Medicago truncatula: one gene and its partners. The protein of the gene in region 1 interacts with the protein of each later gene in a pairwise test. Links are inferred from orthologs where the notes say so. Each region holds a gene or a part of one and is shown on either strand. Other genes may lie near its edges.

Region 1 (7,806 bases):
CTGTTATTATGATTGATGGACACATCCGCTCCTTTGTATGGGAGTGCACCAGTAATTTATCTTAACTGTTACTTGAGGGTGCCTTTCATTTTCTGGCATATGGTTGTCTGTAAATATTTTGCGGTGTCTCGCTTTTTGCAAGTCTTATGTTGGGTGTTTCATCTGCATTATTAATATATTTCATTTTAACTTGTGCAAAAAAAAAAAGAAGTTTAAATGGCATTAGTGTGAAGGGACAATAATTAATAGGCCAAATACCACTTTTGGTCCTTTTAGTTTGACAGAATTCCCAAGTTACGAAAGTTTCAATTAGGTCATTTTAGTTTGACAGAATTCTTAAGTTAGTCCGTTAAGATTAAAAAGTTTCAAATAGGTTCTTTTAGTTGATAAACTATTTCACCGTAACCGTTTCAAAAGTTTCAAATAGCTCCTTTTAGTTTGAAACTGTTGAAACTTAAAAGGACTAGCTGACTTGAGAATTCTGTCAAACTAAAATTACCTATTTGAAACCTTTGAACTTAAAGGACTAACTTGGGAATTCTGTCAAACTAAAAGAACCTAATTGAAACTTTCGAAACTTCAAGGACTAACTTGATAATTATGTCAAACTAAAATGACTAAAAGTTGTATTTGGCCTAATTAATACTATAAAAACATGAAAGGAAATTAAACCTATTTGAAGATTAATTTTTGTATTATTTTGTATTTCTTAAAAATGTAGTTTTAACCAAAATACAAAATAATATAAAAATTAATGATATAAAATAATAAGTTTAATGTTTGTATTTTTTTATCAATGATTTCAATGCTTGAGATTTTTTCTTTCTGGAGGTTGGGTTCTATGGTTGATGCACGTTAAGTTTTAACTCATTCTTTGCATGCATGTCATGTTTACTTCAATGCAAGTTTTCTATATTTGCCACCATCTATAAGAAATTTGGGACAATGCATCATATACTATTTCTCAATTCATTATCTTAAACCAAACAATCAGCCAATTGACTATATTTCTCACTTATTTTTCTTTTCTCGCAATCTCTCTTCTTTATATGACATCACAATGAAACACACCATAAATAATAATCATGGAGTGAATAAAAGACTAATTTTATTCTAGAAAAGGCACGTGAATCAAAATACGGATAACTTGTTTGATTTTATAAATATTTATAAAATCAAACAATTGAAATGAACCAAAATTATCCTATAAATTTCTTAAAAAAAAATTTATCTTATAAATTGTTTGCTATTAATTACTTTTGAAATATCTAAAATACAACATATATAAGGGACAAATTTCGAGTATGCTTGTAATAATTAATAGTAATTAATTAAATACGTCGTGTTTGTTGTGGTGAGCATCAATGTGATCATGAGTGAATCTGAGACTCGAGAAGTGAGGACGGTGTTCGATTTACATACATGTACTTGTGAGAGGGAATGATGATTCCTTTCAGACTTATGTGAAAACTTGTACTAGTTAGTTGTCTATATGGTCTTTTTGTTTGAGGATGTTTCTTTCTATGGGAGCAGAAAACAAACACAATGAGATGTACTATGTTGAGTTACGTAATGTTGTGTCTGTTTGTAATTGTGTGTTCATCTATTCATACATACTTACTTATTGTGTACTTGATTTATGATTTACTCATCCTATCTATGCATGTCTATGTTTCAAATTGTGTGTTACTTGTGTGTGTGAACGAGGACTCTCTCAGCAAGATGCCAATGAGTGTAATTTGTACCTAGCTTTGGGATAACTAAGTTCAAGATTATACGCCTTATCTATAATATTCCTTTATGCTAGCTAGATTTAGGCTTTTGTATTTATTTTTATGAGGGATGTTTCGAGACGGGATAAGTTTCAAGTTTTGGTAAAAAAAAAAAAAAGAGTTCAAGATGCGAAATCTTACGACAATGGTAAATTGTAGAATCTTCATGAATGAATGTGGAGGTCAAAATCCGAGGTGGATATACTGACGATGGAAAACACTCTAACGTTTAAGTTGAAGTAGATGTTAGGGTTAGAACTAATGACACGTACATTTTAAGTCTTGTGCTCATATAGGTCGACAAACGTGGTATTGAGAACAATAAATGTTAGAGATATCATCAAAAGAAACCTATTAGACCAGGTCAAGCCCAATATCACGTCAAACAAGGTTAAAAAATCGCAAACAACACATATGTTAACCTCATATCATGTTTGATTAAATCGAACATGCATGCCAATTCAAATTCGAAAGCTTGCAAATATGACAAACTAAAACCGACACATCCCACTTAGGGGTTTTGATTCTCTCCATTGAAAATTCGTTCAGTTTTTCTCCATTTTCATTCTCCAGTTTTAAAACACACAACTACTTTTCTTTATAATTTAACTTTTATTTTCTCTCTGTCATGTTTGATGGTTGTGATTCAACTTGAAAAAAATTGAGAAATTTTTTAGTGGAGAGGATCTACACCCCCACTAAGATACGTTGTCAGTAACCTTGTCTATTACGATTTTGGAGTCATTTTCTACATGAGTTGTGTTTTTAAACAACTATTTTATTGACAACTTATGTGAAAACTATAAATTTATAAAGAAAAAGTATATATCGACATGAAAATCAAGACAATAAAGAGATAAAATAAAACATAATATGAGTATGAGAGAGAAAATTGTCACAAAAAATATCACAAAATAATTGTACAAGTATCGTTTCTCTTTTTACATAGATGAAATATACTCTCCCATTAAGCTAATAGCAAGGTACATTTCTCATATATATTTGGAGGACAACCTCAACACGTTTAAAGACTTAAATAAATTTTCATAGTGATGCCTTTTAAATTAAAGATATAGAAACCGAGTTTCGTAGAGTCTTAAATTTGAACTTAGGTTAGGCATATATGAAGCTCTCATTTTCACTAATTTAACTTGGATAACATCTACTTGTTGGGTCATAGGGGAGCCTGAGGGACCATCCACATCGAGGCTAAAACAACATATTTAAAGACTTAAATAAATTTCCATAGTGATGCCTTTTAAATTAAAGATATAGAATCCGAGTTAGTCTTAAATTTGAACCTAGGTTAGGCATATATGAAGCTTTCATTTTCACTAATTTAACTTGGCGAACATCTACCTGTTGGGTCATGAGGGGAGCCTGAGGGACTGTCCACATCGAGACTAAAACAACCACATAAGCGAGAGAGACACCACATTCTTACCCAAAACCTTAAGGCAATATGTTTATGGGTCCTCTTACTTATAAGGTGTTCAACCTTTCGTATTTTATCCGATGTGGGACATATAAGTCACACTTGCACACAACAACACCCCTCCTTAAGTGTGAGTCCATATTTTCATCATGGTGTGAGTCCATCTTTTCATCGTGCTCCCCCTTCAAGCGAAAGCTCTTACTTGCTTGAATCGTCGTTGCTGGTTTCTCCGCAAACGGACCGACACTACTTGTACCGTCGTTGTTGCTTTATGCACAAACGGACTGACTGTCTCGGTCATACCCTTCGTCGAACGGGGCTCCGATACCACTGTTGGGTCAGTGAGGGGAGCTTTGGGGGACCGTCCACATTGAGGCTAGAACAACCTCACAAGCAAGAGAGACACCACACTCTTACCCAAAACATTAAGACAATGAGTTTATGGGTCCTCTTACTAATAAGGTGTTCAACCTTTATTTTTTTTTATCCGATGTAGGACATATAAGTAACACTTGCACACAACAACACTACCATTAGTTAGTCATATTATATATTTTTTAGAAAATTAATTTTTTTAGAAAATTTTTTGAGCAAAAACTTTGAAGCCTAAAATCATAACTTCGACTGATACTATATTTTCGCATGTTCAAAATTTATATTTATTTAAAGACTTTTAGTGTATTGTACATAAAAAGACTTTTATATATAAGTTTTATTGTGCTAATATTAACCAAACAAAAAGTTGTTCAAAACTAAAAAAAATTACTCCATGAGAATCAAATTAGGACAATCCATTTTTCTTTTTCCAGTTATCATGATATTGATATGAAGTTTTCACCGACGCTTAAGGCACGATTAATCTTCGTTAGAAAACATGCGGAGCACACACAAGGTGTATTCCCCCCTACAACAAGATTTTTTCATACACAGGATGCATCGATCGAACTCCTAACCATTTAGTTATAAAGTTTAGATCTGTTATCACTTGAACCAATTCATTGTATCAAAACATATTATGAGGTGAAAGGTGTCTCCTTTGTTGCATGTAGATATGCCCAATATTTTTTCTTTTTTTATAAGTGTATAAGATTTGGGTGCTAAACTGCTAATAGCATTCCCAATACATTAGGCCGAATAGCATTAACAGATTTTTCGGGTCGAACTGGGCCATATTATTTCAAACCGAATTACCCGTACGTTTCATCTTCAAAACCCGGTTCGTACAGAAAGTAAACCCTTGTGTCAGAAACACCGTGAAAGTGAACTCAGTGTAAGCTGAAAGGAAAAGTGCTTGTACTGAATAATCACTTATCAAAGTAAAATCACAATGGCTTCTTCCAACAATTCAGTAGCAGAAAACAACAAGAAGAAAACCAAAAAACCACAAACCTCAACTCCTACAAGCAAAATCAAGAAAGACAACAAAAACATTGAAAAATCCAAAGAAAACAACAACAAGAATAAGAAGAAGCTCAATTTCACAAATGGAAATTCCAAAGAACAGGAAGAAAGTGGAAGAAAAAAGAAACATGCAAAGGATGATGACGAAGAAGAAGATGCGAAAACGCATGTGTTTCCTATGAATCGAATTAGGACGATGTTAAAGGGTGAAATTAGCGATTTGCGTGTTTCTCAGGAAGCTATATTGGCTATTAACAATGCTGCGGTAATTTTATGAATTTTTATGTTGATGTTTGTATTGGTTATTGTTATGTGTTTTTGATTCGGTTTTTGTGTTTTATAGGAGAAGTTTCTTGAACAATTAGCGGAAGATGCTTATGGTTGTTGTGCTCAGGATCGGAAGAAATCTTTGAGCTACAATCATCTATGTAATGTCCCTGTTGCTCTCTACTTTTTTCTATAAGCTGTTATATTTGTACTTGCTACTTGTGTTTGGTGTTTGGTATGTGTCAGTGTCCAACACCGACAAATGTGGTTGCGTTTAAATTATTTTCGGTGTCTATGTGTTATGTTAATGTCAAGTGCTTATGTCTGGGATTCATGGCATATCAGCGCACTAGCAATAGCCCAAATCTAGTAGCTTATGGGTGTCTATGTGTTAATGTCAGTGTTTGGGCTAATTTGGATAAACAACTTATTTGCAGCTTATCATGATAAGCGCTTATGTATAAGCTCACATAAGCTATTTCTATAGAAAGGATAAAATAAAGTTATATTATTTTTGTATATGCTATAAGTTGTTCTTACAAGTTAAATTAGAGAACTTATGAAAATAACCTGAGAAAAGCTTTTGAAAATTGTCATAAGCTGTTTTCATAAGTTCTCCCAAATAGGCTCACAAAACTTATGCTAATAGACAAGCTCAAATAAGTCAATACAAATTAGCGTCTATATTCTTGGAACTTAAGGGATGCTTTTCTTTGTTGGAAAATATTGGCTTGGACATTTAGGTTTTGTAATCTATTAGGCTATGATTATTATTATAATATAAGTGCTTTTGAGTGAGAAATATGCATTCTGCTCAAACAGTTACAAATTAATATGTGAGAGTGGATTGTCAATTTTGTACGTCTCTAAGTACTGTTATCCGTCCGTTTATTGTTTTTGACCATTTGTTACCTTGTGATTGGTCATTTACTAGTTTTGTTGTGTTTTCATGCAAAAATATTTGTCATCAATAACAATGTAATTTTTTTTTGAGTAAATAACAATGTGATCATAACTTAGCAAGTTAGCAGTGATCTTTTGTACTTTAAAAATGAACTGCTTGAGTAGAATTCTTAGGCATTTGTGGTTACTTTTCTGAGGAGAATAACGGATAGGTAAGTTGAGTTTTGAAAGAGCTTTTGCCCTTAAGGTAGGGAATATCAAACTGGTTTTATTTTTTTGGTACATTGAGGCTTACAATCTAGCAGCTGTCCCAAATGAAATCTAGTTAATAGTAAATATTGAATGAATTCAGTATGAAGTTTTTTCCCCGCATAAAAATGTTACAAAATCTATTCAACCAATCATATTAAGCCTATCAGTTCATGGGGACTTAGAAGGCATGGATGATAAGACACATGGATGAAAACATGTTGTGCGATACTAGTAACGATTCAGTTCATATACGATTTTGCATATTGATTGATTATCTCTCCATGTGATGTGAAGTGTGATGAATTTTCAGTTATTATTTCTCTTGAACCTTTTCCTCTATTCACTTCTGAATGGTTTTCAACCCATTCACTTATAAATATCACCACTACTTTGTTCTAGAAACCTATATTCTGATTCACATGAACTAAAATTAACCTATTATTAAGTTAGGGTCAAATGGTTCAGAGATATGGTAAAATCATTAAACTTCTTCAGTGCTGTAAACTAGAAAAGGGAATGGTGGAGGTATTTTTTTAATATTTTCTTTTACTCTTTTGTATAATTGCTGTCATTGCAAGCCATTTCAAACATTGCTTTCTTTTTCCCTGTGCAATATTGAAGGAAATCTCTATCATTATCATGAATAAAAATCTGGTAGTTGTCAAGAGAAAAATCATTAATCTAACCCATTAATTAGGCACTGGGAGTTATCATTCACCGTAAGTCTTTTGTTCTGTTAGTTTTTTTTACTTTGATCTCTATCAATAAGAGCAAAAGCGAGGAGGGTGTGTTCAACAAAATTTCGTAAAACCTTGTTTGTTTTGTTTTTGGTCTGCACTTAGCAGTGTTAAATTGAAAATATGAACCAACATAAGGCTTAATATTTGACCTATGCCATAAGTAGGTTGTAAAAATGCTACTTTGTATGTCCATTGGAATTGATCCTTGTGCATGTTTATTTATGTGCTGTTTGTTCATTGAGACCTTTTTTCCAATTACTGATAAGACAACTGCTTTGTGTTTCAGCACGTGTTGTTAGTAAGCAAAAAAGATATGACTTTCTGTCCGGTAATTTCTTATCCCTGTTGAAATTTAATCTGGTGACCATTGAAATATTTGAAGTTCACCTTTCCATGTATTTATTTACCACTAATTAAAAGGGTTTCTGCATTGTTTTTGCTTGTTCAGACTTTGTTCCTGAGAAAGTGAAAGCTGAGGATGCATTAAGAGAGACAAACTCAAGAGGGAATAAAGGAGGTTAGGAAATGTAAAACACAGAAAGTGGTGAACCTAAGTCAATTCTTTTGTTAAACACATTCTGAAATGGAAACATGTATGATGGTTAGTACTTAGTAATGCACTGTTTTACATCTCCATAGTGTATTTACCGTTGCACTCTTCTTTAAAGCTTCCATCTCATATGGCTAGATTTTTCTTTTCTTGCTGTGGCTATGCGAACTTGATGCTTGACATTTGTAACGGTTATTTTCGTTTTTATTTTTATGCTGAAAATCCCATGGGAAGATAGAAAACATATAGAGTTACTAAATACTAACGACAGGGTGGAAACAATGCTTAAGCTACGTTTGTATGCTTTTAGGTGGAGGGTAATAGAGGGAAAAGAAAGAGAAAGCTAATAATGGGATGGATTGGAAGTATTTCCCCTTGTTTTGAATGTTAAAGTTAAATTAGCGGGAATGATATTTCCTCCCTTATTTATTTGGATAAAACTCTTTTCGTTTGTTTTCCCTCTAGTTTGAGGGGGATGGATTTTAA
Region 2 (6,006 bases), on another chromosome or scaffold:
TCACATCACTCATCGCTGCAAAAATTAGAGAGTTGAACTAACTGCTCCAAATAAGAGAATTGTCATAATGTTTTATTTCTGATTTATCACCTTTTCCCATGTCAATTGTTTACTTCCCTGGTTGGTTCATGTATATAAATCTCCATTTGATTTTATTTTTGTTTCTAAATGTAAACACCCTTTCAAATTATTAGATGCATTTATTATTTTTTTCCTAAACATACCCTTAATTAATACTACTAACTTGTCTTGAAATACGATAAGACAAATTTAATACACATACAAACAAAGAATAATTTGGTAATATTAACACACAAAACAGACACATTAATTACACTGACAACATTTCTTAAGAAATGTGAAAAATGCAATGGATGGCTACATTAAGGGACGGAGGGAGTAACTAACAATGATAAACTTTTTCTAATAATTCGAGTGAACTAGAATCAATCATCCAAAAATGAGATAAGGTGTCTATGTGAGCTTAACTCAGTTGATAAGAACAATGCATAATATTTGCAAGTTCCAGAGTTCAAATCCCGGACACCAAAAAAAGAAAATGAGTTAAGGTTAAGATATTCATTTGATAATGCTTAAGTCAGCTAACATTATTTTCCATGGGTTTAGACACTTAATTATTGTCTTAGTGGACAACACTGTAGGATACAAATCTTTAGTCCCATGATGAGAGGTGTCTAGTATGAGTCTTCAGAAGCATATATTGATGACGTGAAAGTGGAACCCTTATACCTTTGCTATCAACATGAAAGCCAACCAATTAGCATCAAACTAATCATAAATTTCAAGTGACATCGTGGAGCAATTGGTGTGATGTTTCATCGGCACTGACCTTTAAAATGAAAACTTGGGCCCCCATAGTTCATGATTAACTGCCAGATGGCCCAAAGTGGTGGATTGATGTTTTATTTAAGAATCAGTCCTCTTTCGAAATACCTTAAAATCCCACGTCGTTTAGAAGTCAATATAAATTGTCCTAATATATATACAACACTTATACTCCTCAACACAATGAAACAATTTTTATAAAGAATAAAACCGTAAAAAATTTACATCTAAAATAAACAATACCTCAAAACACGATATAACATACTTGAGGTCTAAATGAAACAAGTACGTACTATTATTTTTTTTTTTTTATGGTCTTTCATAAATGTTAATTAAATTAGTTGCAATCAAGTGAGGGATGCTGCTGGATTTGTCTTAATGTAGTAGTACACACACAAAGGGAAGAATATAGTAGTATGGCAACGCGACTATACTCCCTCCAGAACGAAATGCAAGTAAAAAAATGTAATTGAAAAGTTGATGTAAGTGAACTAAATTTTTAACTTCATACATCAACTTTTTAAATTTTTTTTTTTTATATTTTATTTCGGAGGAAGTAGTTCATAAAGAGTGTGTGTATAGACAATCTTTTATGCTGATTCTGATTTTCAAATCATTGTTATTCCTAATACCGTTCATTCAAACTCCAATGGCTTTACTATTGTAGGTTTATGCACAAGGATCAAAATAATTTTTTCTTATTTTACCAGGGATCAAATTGAGAAGGTATATTTTGATCTCAATAATAACTTTTTCTTTCAAACAAATCTAAACAAACACCATTATCTTCATTCATTAATATCAACAAATCCAAAAATACATAACATCGCCAAAGGAAATGAAAAAAAGGGGCTCAAAGAGAGAAGGAGGACATTCACAATGTATAGAAATTGTCCCTCACAAATGACTAAATCCACGTCGTATCAAAGGTCATAACGCTAATGCCACATTTTTACATTTGTCTGCAGACTTTTGGTTTATGAATTAACTTATGGGAAATGTTAGGCACGGGTGGTGGTTGTGTAATCAATATATTAAAAGCTTAAAAAGTATATATTTTTTTATTTATAATTTTTTTTTTTTATTTCCTTAACCAGTGTTTCGAAGGCACTGATTAACATGACCTTAACTTATTGTCTCAATTTATTTTTGTGATAGAGTAAAATTGATTTTTATCTTTAAAGATATTAAACTCAATTATATAATTATTGTAAAAGATAAAAATGAGACTTAAACATGAATCATCAAAATCTATCTTCAACGTCAACAATGGATTGGTCTAATTGGTAAGAGACTTGAGTCTCTTAAGCATGCAGTCAGAAATTCGATTTTTGACTCCGGCTTATAATTTTTTTTGATTGGGAGGGTAGAAATATATTCGTGATTCCAAATATGCACTTATGACATATTTGGTATCACGATTGGTTGATTGAAATTATGGTGTCACCGTGATTTTATAGAAGCTTCAAAGTATATCTTTTGTAAATTTACGGTGACTCATCGTCATTTTGTTAAACTCATCCCAAATTCAAACAAGCATTTAATATATTTGGTAGCTAAAATGAAACAAACATCAAGTAAATGTGCTCAGCACACTTCATACTAGAATTATATTCATTATATACGAATTTTTCTATGGCATATATAATTGACAAATAATTGTCTATTTTAGGCATGTGATCATACGTTCAATCTCTTATCGATGCATATGAAATAACACTTGTTCAAAAAGTTAACTTTTAATTGAATCTTCATATTTTGAAAGATTAATCTCAAACTTACGGCTATAGGAGAGACCTAAAACAAAAACAAAAAAATGTGTTTAATGTCACAACATGCACCACCTTTCGTTCAACCAAGCCTACTTTTTACTTTTGAGATAACTTAGAACACCTCCAATTTGATTTTAGTCCACCAACTTGTAGGTTAAGGACACCATTAAAACAAAAAATGAAAGAATTACTTTAAAGTGATAGGGGAGCATGACAATACTATTGTAGTCTTGTTGAGTTGCACCATTAAAGGTGTCCTTACACCATTGTCTCCTTTCAGCAGTGACATGGATGCTTGGATTCTAAGGTCCATGCAGTTCCAAGTCAATGTTAAAATTCAAACACACGTGATATTCCCCTTCTTAGACATGAATGGCCTCAAAATATCCACGTCTCAATACAGTACCACAACAATTATACATTCTTTTCTGTTCATACTAATTATATGATATGATTTTGGAAGAGGTGGTTGGACTTTTTGTTCATACTAATTATATGATTTGGTAAATTTCATCATAAATAACTTATTTTTAAAAGTTAAACACACTAGTTTAATTCACTATAAATTGTAAATTATACCTATTTCATCTTAAATCATTGTTGAAGTTAGTGTTTCTTTTCCACATTATATGAGATGTGCGTCAAATAGTCAGAATTCAAATATTTTTTACCATATGCATCTACATTTATACATCTATCTTCATAAACGTTATGAACTTCTTAAAATAACTTACGTATACTATTACAAAACAAAATTTCAAAGTCAGATTCCACACGCTCCCGCAACTTTTTTAATGAATATTCATCATGACAATTTTGAAAACTGAATTTGCCGGAATCATAAGTGGATTTTCAAAATAAGGGTAAAATTTGATTAATTTTGGAGATAGAGGTATAATTGAGATGATATGAGGTAATTTTTTCTAAATTTAATTCTATAATTCACACACACAGACATCACTCATCAACACCCATACATTCCCCACTTGCCCACTTCCCCCCTCCCCCCATTCCTATGAATTATATAATTCACCCGCCAATTTCCAAACTTTTTCATTAATTAATTTTTCCACATTTTGATACCATACCTACTTTTTTATCTTCACTTTTTATATACTTGTTGGTTGGTTACATTAAAGAAAACTAAAATTCTATGAGTCATGCTACTAAGTGAACTCAAAATGAAAGTTTTGTATTGACAGTAACATTTTTAAATATTTTAAAAGTTGAGTATACAACTTTCAATGTATTGTTATATTTAATTCCTTGACAAAGATTTTCCTAATTTTTTTTGTGTACAAAAAACATTTTCCTAATTTGATTAATAATAAACAACTCTCATATGTTCTATAATTTTATTGAGTGTGTATGTGACAACTAATTATTTTTAAGTGAATTTTAATTTTGTATTAATTCTTCTTTGTAGGCACCACTACCCACATTTTTTTTTATCTAGATGAATCCAAGAAATTTATGGCACTCGTTAACATGACTCTCTTTAATTAATAATAAACGTACTCATATTCTATGATTTTGTTCATTGTATATTCAACCTCTAATTATTTGCAAGTGAATTTTAATTTTGTATTAATTTTTCTTTGTAGGCGCCACCCACCACCCACATTTTTTTTTATCTAGATGAATCCAAGAAACTCAGGACACTTGTTAGCATGACTCTCTTTAATTAATAGTAAACGCTCTCATATTCTATAATTTTGTTCATGTTATATTCAACCTCTAATTATTTGTAAGTGAATTTAAATTTTGAATTAATTATTCTTTGTAGGTACCACCCCACCCACATTTTTTTATGAGCACAAAAATTCTTTATAATTATATCTAGATGAATCCAAGGAATCCCACAATCTAATCCAAATCATTATATATAGTTTACACTATGGTTTTTTTTTTTCTTCCTCACTTCACACCAGTGACAACAATATTTTATTATGTTAGCATATGAATGAATATATAAATGCATACACACATATAATAAGACCATATATGGTTGGTAGCATTTCAAAGATAGGTTTGCAACTATGGCTGAATCAGACAATGAGTCAGGAGGTGGTCAAACAGGTTGCAGAGAGCAAGATAGGTTTCTTCCAATAGCAAACGTGAGTAGGATCATGAAAAAGGCTTTACCAGCAAACGCAAAGATCTCAAAAGAAGCAAAAGAAACAGTACAAGAGTGTGTATCAGAGTTTATCAGTTTCATAACTGGAGAAGCTTCTGATAAGTGTCAGAAAGAGAAGAGGAAAACAATCAACGGTGATGATCTTCTTTGGGCTATGACAACTCTTGGATTTGAAGATTATGTTGAGCCACTCAAGATTTATTTGAGTAAGTATAGGGAGATGGAAGGAGAGAAGAGTGCTATGATTGGTAGGAGTGATCAGAGAGATGGGAATGTTGGTGAGGGTAGTGGTGGAGTTTATGGTCATGGAGTTGGAGTTCCATCTTCTATGATGATGATGATGGGACATAATATGTATGGATCTGGGAGTGGATCGCCATCTTCTGGAAGGAGTACTCGATAGCAGAGACTAATCTCTCGAGTCAGATAAGATCATAATGAGCAGAAAACTTCTGTCTTAAGAATACGAACTCAAAATCTATAATTAAACCGAAAGAAATCGGAGTCATCTCATCTAAATACTCTTGGCTAGACAACAGGTTTATGTATGCATATGTTTGATATAAATTCATCTATTTTTTTTTTTAATTTAGAGTACCCTAGATATATTGTTGCAATTTAATTTGTTGTTGAGGGTACAGTGAAACATTATGGATGGTGGTTTGGAATTAATGCAAAAAGTATTTTTCTTTTTATTTTTTGTGGGAGGTGATAAATGATGCATGTATAGTTTGGAGCAATGCTATATATTAAGAAAGATTTTATTAAGAAAGATTTAAGAATGACATGACAGAATAATCACCCTTAAATTTTATCAAGAAATTGTCCCGAAATTAATGTTAGCTAATAAAATCTCAGCCTCACCGGAAATCATGGGGTGGTGGGTGTTATGTATTTTTTTTTTTATGAAAAGTGAATAAATAAGACTGAAATCTAAAGGTGATTATTCTGTCATGTCATTCTTAAATATTTCTTGATCAAATCATTCTTGATATCTAACATTTTCCATATAGTTTGTTGTGTTGTGTACTATTTCTGTTATATACACCTACTTCTTTGTTACATTGATCATATACGTCCTTTAATTAGAAACTAGACTATGAATTTATTGAAGAACCCATTGATGTTAGAATTGAGTAGCTAATTGATGTTATTAATTGGTATGTTTTGATCACACAATAGGTTGGTCTTATAAGTTTATTATCAACATGTTTCGAAAATCGAAGACGTTAAATATAGCGAGAATATTAT
Region 3 (5,978 bases), on another chromosome or scaffold:
AAATATCAGTTCATATCTCAAATTTATCAATCATACTCCAAACGTTTAATAAAAAATTATACTTAAAAGTTCTGAATCGATTTTTTTTAACAACGTATGACTATTTGTTCCATTTTTCTTTTAAAAAAAAGTAGAGATTTAATTCTCGAATAAACTTAGAGGATTGAAATTGTACATAGTCCAAACTAAAGACTAAAGTGTAGTTAAGGCTTTATAAAAACTAAAGTTTTCTTTTGGAGTCATAATAAAATTAAAGTCATTGATGGTATAAATATGTCAATACTTTTTTCTCAATCTATGTGTTATAAATTTATTCAAATTATTCAATATTTCATTGATACATTTATGCGTGAAGAAAGGTCAAACTGATCGACATGAGCCTAAGCTTGAACCTATTTTATTGAGTTTTTTTTTTTTTTTTAATTAACATTTGTCAGTAAAAAAAATTATACACATGCTCGGTAAATGCTAGTATGCTGATTGCTAGCACATAAGCAAAAACGGTTGGAAACTTTTACGGTACACTCACAAAATGAGGTGTACCGGTACTCTTGCTTCATAATTTTATAAATTAATGATCATTTTTTGTGAAATAAATAACTATTTATCAACATTTATATTTTAAAGAATATCATTTCATAAGAAAAAACATCATTTCATTGTTTATAAGAATTTTAGTAATATTTTTACATATTATCGTAAAAAAATAATCAATGTTCTCAATTTATGGGTGATAAAAATTCAAAAAATATTAATTTTAATTCGTTGACACTTTTGATGAATAAGATTTAGTTATTATAATTATAAATGATAATTTTTTTTTTTTTTTTTTATCAAAAAACAACTCATTTAACTATTAATTTAAAGAGTGGATGTAGCAGTACATTCAAATATATTGGGTGTACCATAGAATTTGCCTACGAACTATTTCTCTCACTCTAATTCCATTCTATTTCTGTGTTCATTTTGCAGAAAAATGGAAGCTACTAACAATACCACCACCATTGATCACGGTGGAGCATTTCTTTCTTCAACATGCCAATATATTATTTTATACTTGAAATATTTGTTATTCTCTATAGTATTGGTGTTTCATTTTAATTGTACTTGCCACCACAATATAGAGCTCCCACCAAGAGATTGCATTGTCACCCATTCATAAACATTGTTGAGTTCATCTCTTATTTAATGTGAGAAACAATCTGTTAGGTCTAAATTGTCTTGAATATATATTTGCTATTACTTTTGATTCAGCTTTTTTGTTGTTGTTGTTGTTGTTTGTTTTGTATATATTTTAGGCATCTTTCTTATATTTGCTCCCTCCATCTCTAAATAATAGTAGTCGTTTAAGATTTGTGTACGATTATTAAAGAAATGATTAATTATGTTGATTTCGATGGTAAAATTAATATCATTTACTAAAAAACCCTAATTAATTGTACCCTTATTAATTGTAGTTAGTGAAGTAGTTCAGTTGAATGAAATTCAATAAATAAAAGTATAATAATGGAAAATAATAATAAACGATTCATTGATATTCTAAAATGACAATTATTTTGAGAGAAAAAAAAGATGATAAAAAGACAATTATTATGAGGCGGAGGGAGTAACAATTATCGTGACACGAATTTTCATACAGTCATTCATTTAGCTTGTTAACCCAAATTCATTCTAAAAATAGATTTCATTTCCACGTTTTAATTCCGTGTTCAACTTTGTAGAACACTTTTAAATAGTTCTATGAAATTATAAATATGTTTAAAAGGTCTCTGATTTTGTCAAATATACCCCTATTAACCCTTTGATAGTAGTGTTAGAGACTAAATTGATAGCAAGTGGTTAAATATTGTGACAAACTTTATACGGTAGTAAGTACCTAATATAAACAACCTAATTGATAATAAGTGATTAAATATAGGGATTAACATGATAGTTTAATAGAGTTAATGAACTTTTTAAAATATTCACAATTTCATTGGACATATTTGAAAGCATCTTACAAAGTAATGACTAATTGTTTTTTTTTTCTTTTGGTTTAAATGCGCTTTTGTTCTTCTATTAAAAAAAAAAGTAAAGTGGTTTTGGTCCCCTTATTCTAAAATTAAGTTTTTTGTCCTTGTATTTAATTTTTTTATTTTTTGGATTTTTGGCCTCTCATCTTATTTAAACATTTCTTGATGATATGACCTAGTCATTTATAACATGACAATATTTACTAGACATGATTTTGTTTACATGAATGTTTGTTGTGGCCTATTAAGCGTTGTTACGTCATAAATCAATAGGCCACATTATAAAAAAAAGGGTTAATGGTGCTTTATCCCCTGTAATATAGGTTATTTTTTTGTTTTCCCTCCTGTAAAATATTTTTTTTGATTTACCCCCTGTAAAATATATATTTTTTGGAATACCCCCCTAATAGGTCATAAAAAAACGAAAAATTCTGTAAAAAAAAAAAATAATAAAGTCGTTTTTTTATGACCTATTAGGGGGTATTCCAAAAAATATATATTTTACAGGGGTAAATCAAAAAAATATTTTACTGAAGAAAATAAAAAATGACCTATATTACAGGGGTAAAACACCATTAACCCTTAAAAAAAAAACCAAAAAATAAGATGAAGGACAAAATTCAGAAACTACATAAATAGAGGGACAACGGTTGTTCTTGGATGTTTTTTATTTATTTAGTGGGATAATATATATAAGTTGTTATCAATCTGATTTCTTCGTGCAATCGCCAATAAGGACTAATAATACTAATACTATCAATCTGATTAGCAATCATCTCAACCTACGACAACTTTCAAATCACATTCCATAAGGACCTTGCGAAAGCGACATTTTTGAGGTACCCAAAATACAAACAAAACAAGTTCACCAACGTCTGATTCTATTCCAAAATACGAACAAAACAAGTACATGCCGCTCTATGGTTATTCAAGACATACGTACCCATTTATATTTGTACAATATCTAATCTAATGGAAGGACCTTCCAACAAAATTGGATATGTTGAAAAACAGAACCATGATTCAGCTCAATAATTCTATCTGAATTCAAGCACCAACCTTAGCCTCCTTCCCATATGCATAAGAATAACCTTACGCACAAGTCAAACGTATCATGCCGGAAAACCACTTGATTTCTTGAAAACCAAATCAAGTGGAGATAATTAGAAAAATTAAGCCAAACCACTTTGGCCTTCACACAATATCTAAGGATATGAGAGTTAGTTTCCTCATAAGCGTTACACACGTGACCGGACACAACGCCACGTCGCCACCACCCCGCCATTTTTTTAAGAATCTTCTACATGAGTACTCTTACTCTAGGGTGTTTCTTTCAAAACCAGAGCTCCCTTCAAATAGGGTCAAATGCACGATTTTCACCGTGTCCTTCAACCAATCCATAAGAGTATCTACGATCAAGATACCAATTTTTTAGTATTTAAATGAGTTCAACATGTAAACATTGATTAATTCCTTTTTTAGCTTTTAACTTGTGCCCTTAGCACGTCCCCATAGTTAATGGAGGTAATAATCACTTTGATCCAGAATGTGTAATGAGTAGCGCAATAGTCGAAATTCTAAAATGTAGTAGTCATTAATTTTTTACTCCCTTAGTCAAAATAGTTTTTTATGATAAAATTGTTCCTCAATATTTACAATAACTATTTTCTTATAAGGACTAATATGATAATAAGTAAATACTAATAAAGATTAATATTGTCAAGAAGTCCTAGCTCAACTGGCAAATGCCGAAATTGCAAGGCCGGACGTCATGACATGGGTTTGAACCCGAGACCTCACAGTTGTGTGTGAGTTTTAATTTCAGTGGATTACCACTTCATCTAAGACAAAAAAAATAAAATAAAGTTAATATGACACTGAGTAAGCACATTGAGGGACTAATATAATACTACCTCCGTTCCTTTTTAATTTGTCACATTTTGACATTTTACACAAATCAAGACAATCAACAATTGATACTACTTTTGATGCAATAAGCTATACTTTTACTATAATGACCTTATTCATTTAATATCTTATATCATATATTTCTCTCTCCGCAATAAAAAACTAAAGACAATATTGGTAAAACAACATTTAATGTTGCATTGAACTTCGAAAGTGACAGTTAAATAGGAACAAAAAATTTCTCCAAAAATGACACTTAAAAAGGAACGGAGGGAGTAGGTATTCATGTACATCGCTACTCATTTTTCAGTCAACTTCGTTAAAATATATTTATGAATCATTTAACATTGAAATGGTAGGTCCAAAAATGATTATGAAAACAAACATGATTACTTACCCACATAATTTGGACAAGTATTTCAAGCTTAATTTTATAGATAAGTATTACAAATGAAGTAAAGGATCAATTTTATTTCAAATCAACACTGAACAAAAACATCTATCAATAAATTAAAAAGATTTGTACCAGCAAAAATTGTCCAAAAAAATAAAATAAAAAAAGTTAATTAAGTTTGGTAATTTGTCATCAAAGGGTATTTCTATTTGTATTGACAATAATAGTGTTATCTAAGTTGGAATTGGATCGGGTCGTGGCAGTTACATGAAGTACTCAACATCTAGAACGAGTCCGGGGGACTTGCCTATTTTTCTTTTTTTAACTTTTACTTCTCCTAACTAACCCTTCTTACTTGCCTATTTTTATGCCTCACTTTCAGTTTATCTATCTATACAATAATGTAAATTTTAAATGTAATATTGTAAGGTCACGTAACATCCTATAAGCTCATTAATTTAGTTCCAATGGATGATGAGAGTCATAGTAATTTGCCAAATGGATTCAACACAGAAAACCCTGAAACTCATTGTTTAAAAACAATCAACAACAATAATCATAATCATCATCACAATAGCAATAAAGAACAAGATCGTTTTCTTCCTATAGCAAATGTTGGTAGAATAATGAAAAAAGTTATTCCTGCAAATGGAAAAATCTCAAAGGATGCAAAAGAGACAGTTCAAGAATGTGTGTCGGAGTTCATAAGTTTTGTCACCGGGGAAGCATCGGATAAATGTCAAAGAGAAAAAAGAAAGACAATCAACGGTGATGATATTATTTGGGCTATTACAACGTTAGGCTTTGAAGAATATGTGGAACCATTAAAATGTTACCTTCAAAAATATAGAGATATTGAAGGTGAGAAAGTTAATGTTCCAAAACAACAAAGATCTGAACAAAGGCTACATCAACATCAACATCAACATAACCAAGATGAATTAAATAATCAACATTTCAACAATAGTGTATATACATCTACAAATCTCATGTCTCAAACTCCTTATATGACTACTGATCAACCATTTCCACTTCCTTTCTCTCCAAATTCGATTCAAAAACAATTACGACAGCAAGATCAGATTGATTCCATAGGGCATTGGTATGAATGAGTAAGACCAAGCTAATTTTATGTTTGGTCTTTTTTTTCTTCTTCTTTTCTTTTTGATATAACAATATAATGTAATCTTAGATATAGAATTATATTTATGCGTATAAGAGTATATATACACATACAATTAATGTAATGTTTTTTGCCACTTTTCAAAATAAAATGATCTTGAAGCTTTTGTTTGTCATTGATTGTCGTGTAATATTGACAAGGAAAATGATAAATTGCACAAAAGTTGCACTAATTAGTGAATATGCACAACAAGTCTAAATTCAATCATATGCCAATATTCAAACAGAATCACTCAACGTACTTATGATGGCCAATGACTCATGAGAGGATTCTGGTTTGTTAATTAAGTTACACCTTTTAAAGAGGCAAAATTGATTTCAGAGGCGCATAATTAATTTTGACGTGCTTAGAGAATGCTTAGATTTTTTTTTGAGAGACAGAGAATGCTTAGATATTCTCTAATAGAATTGATTTAGCCATTTTAACTTCTTTTGTGAGAGAAAAAATAATTCTAACTTGTCCCTCGAGTGAAAAATATGAT

The links.
Region 2: the proteins of DNA polymerase epsilon subunit 4 (region 1) and nuclear transcription factor Y subunit B-3 interact in binary tests that used the Arabidopsis thaliana proteins (3 or more experiments, as listed by UniProt). The link is inferred for Medicago truncatula from reciprocal best matches to the Arabidopsis thaliana genes NF-YC10 and NF-YB3.
Region 3: the proteins of DNA polymerase epsilon subunit 4 (region 1) and nuclear transcription factor Y subunit B-3 interact in a two-hybrid assay, tested with the Arabidopsis thaliana proteins (2 studies listed by BioGRID). The link is inferred for Medicago truncatula from reciprocal best matches to the Arabidopsis thaliana genes NF-YC10 and NF-YB7.

The regions. Positions count from the first base shown.
Region 1 is NC_053045.1:30,234,436-30,242,241, forward strand, and holds DNA polymerase epsilon subunit 4, read left to right. Parts: upstream 1-4,351; 5' UTR 4,352-4,534; coding exon 4,535-4,873; intron 4,874-4,951; coding exon 4,952-5,036; intron 5,037-6,480; exon of another isoform or gene 6,481-6,555; intron 6,556-7,056; coding exon 7,057-7,098; intron 7,099-7,218; coding exon 7,219-7,292; 3' UTR 7,293-7,553; downstream 7,554-7,806.
Region 2 is NC_053043.1:9,773,190-9,779,195, forward strand, and holds nuclear transcription factor Y subunit B-3, read left to right. Parts: upstream 1-4,513; 5' UTR 4,514-4,657; coding exon 4,658-5,158; 3' UTR 5,159-5,450; downstream 5,451-6,006. UniProt on the Arabidopsis thaliana protein: Component of the NF-Y/HAP transcription factor complex. The NF-Y complex stimulates the transcription of various genes by recognizing and binding to a CCAAT motif in promoters.
Region 3 is NC_053049.1:43,430,354-43,436,331, forward strand, and holds nuclear transcription factor Y subunit B-3, read left to right. Parts: upstream 1-4,781; coding exon 4,782-5,426; downstream 5,427-5,978.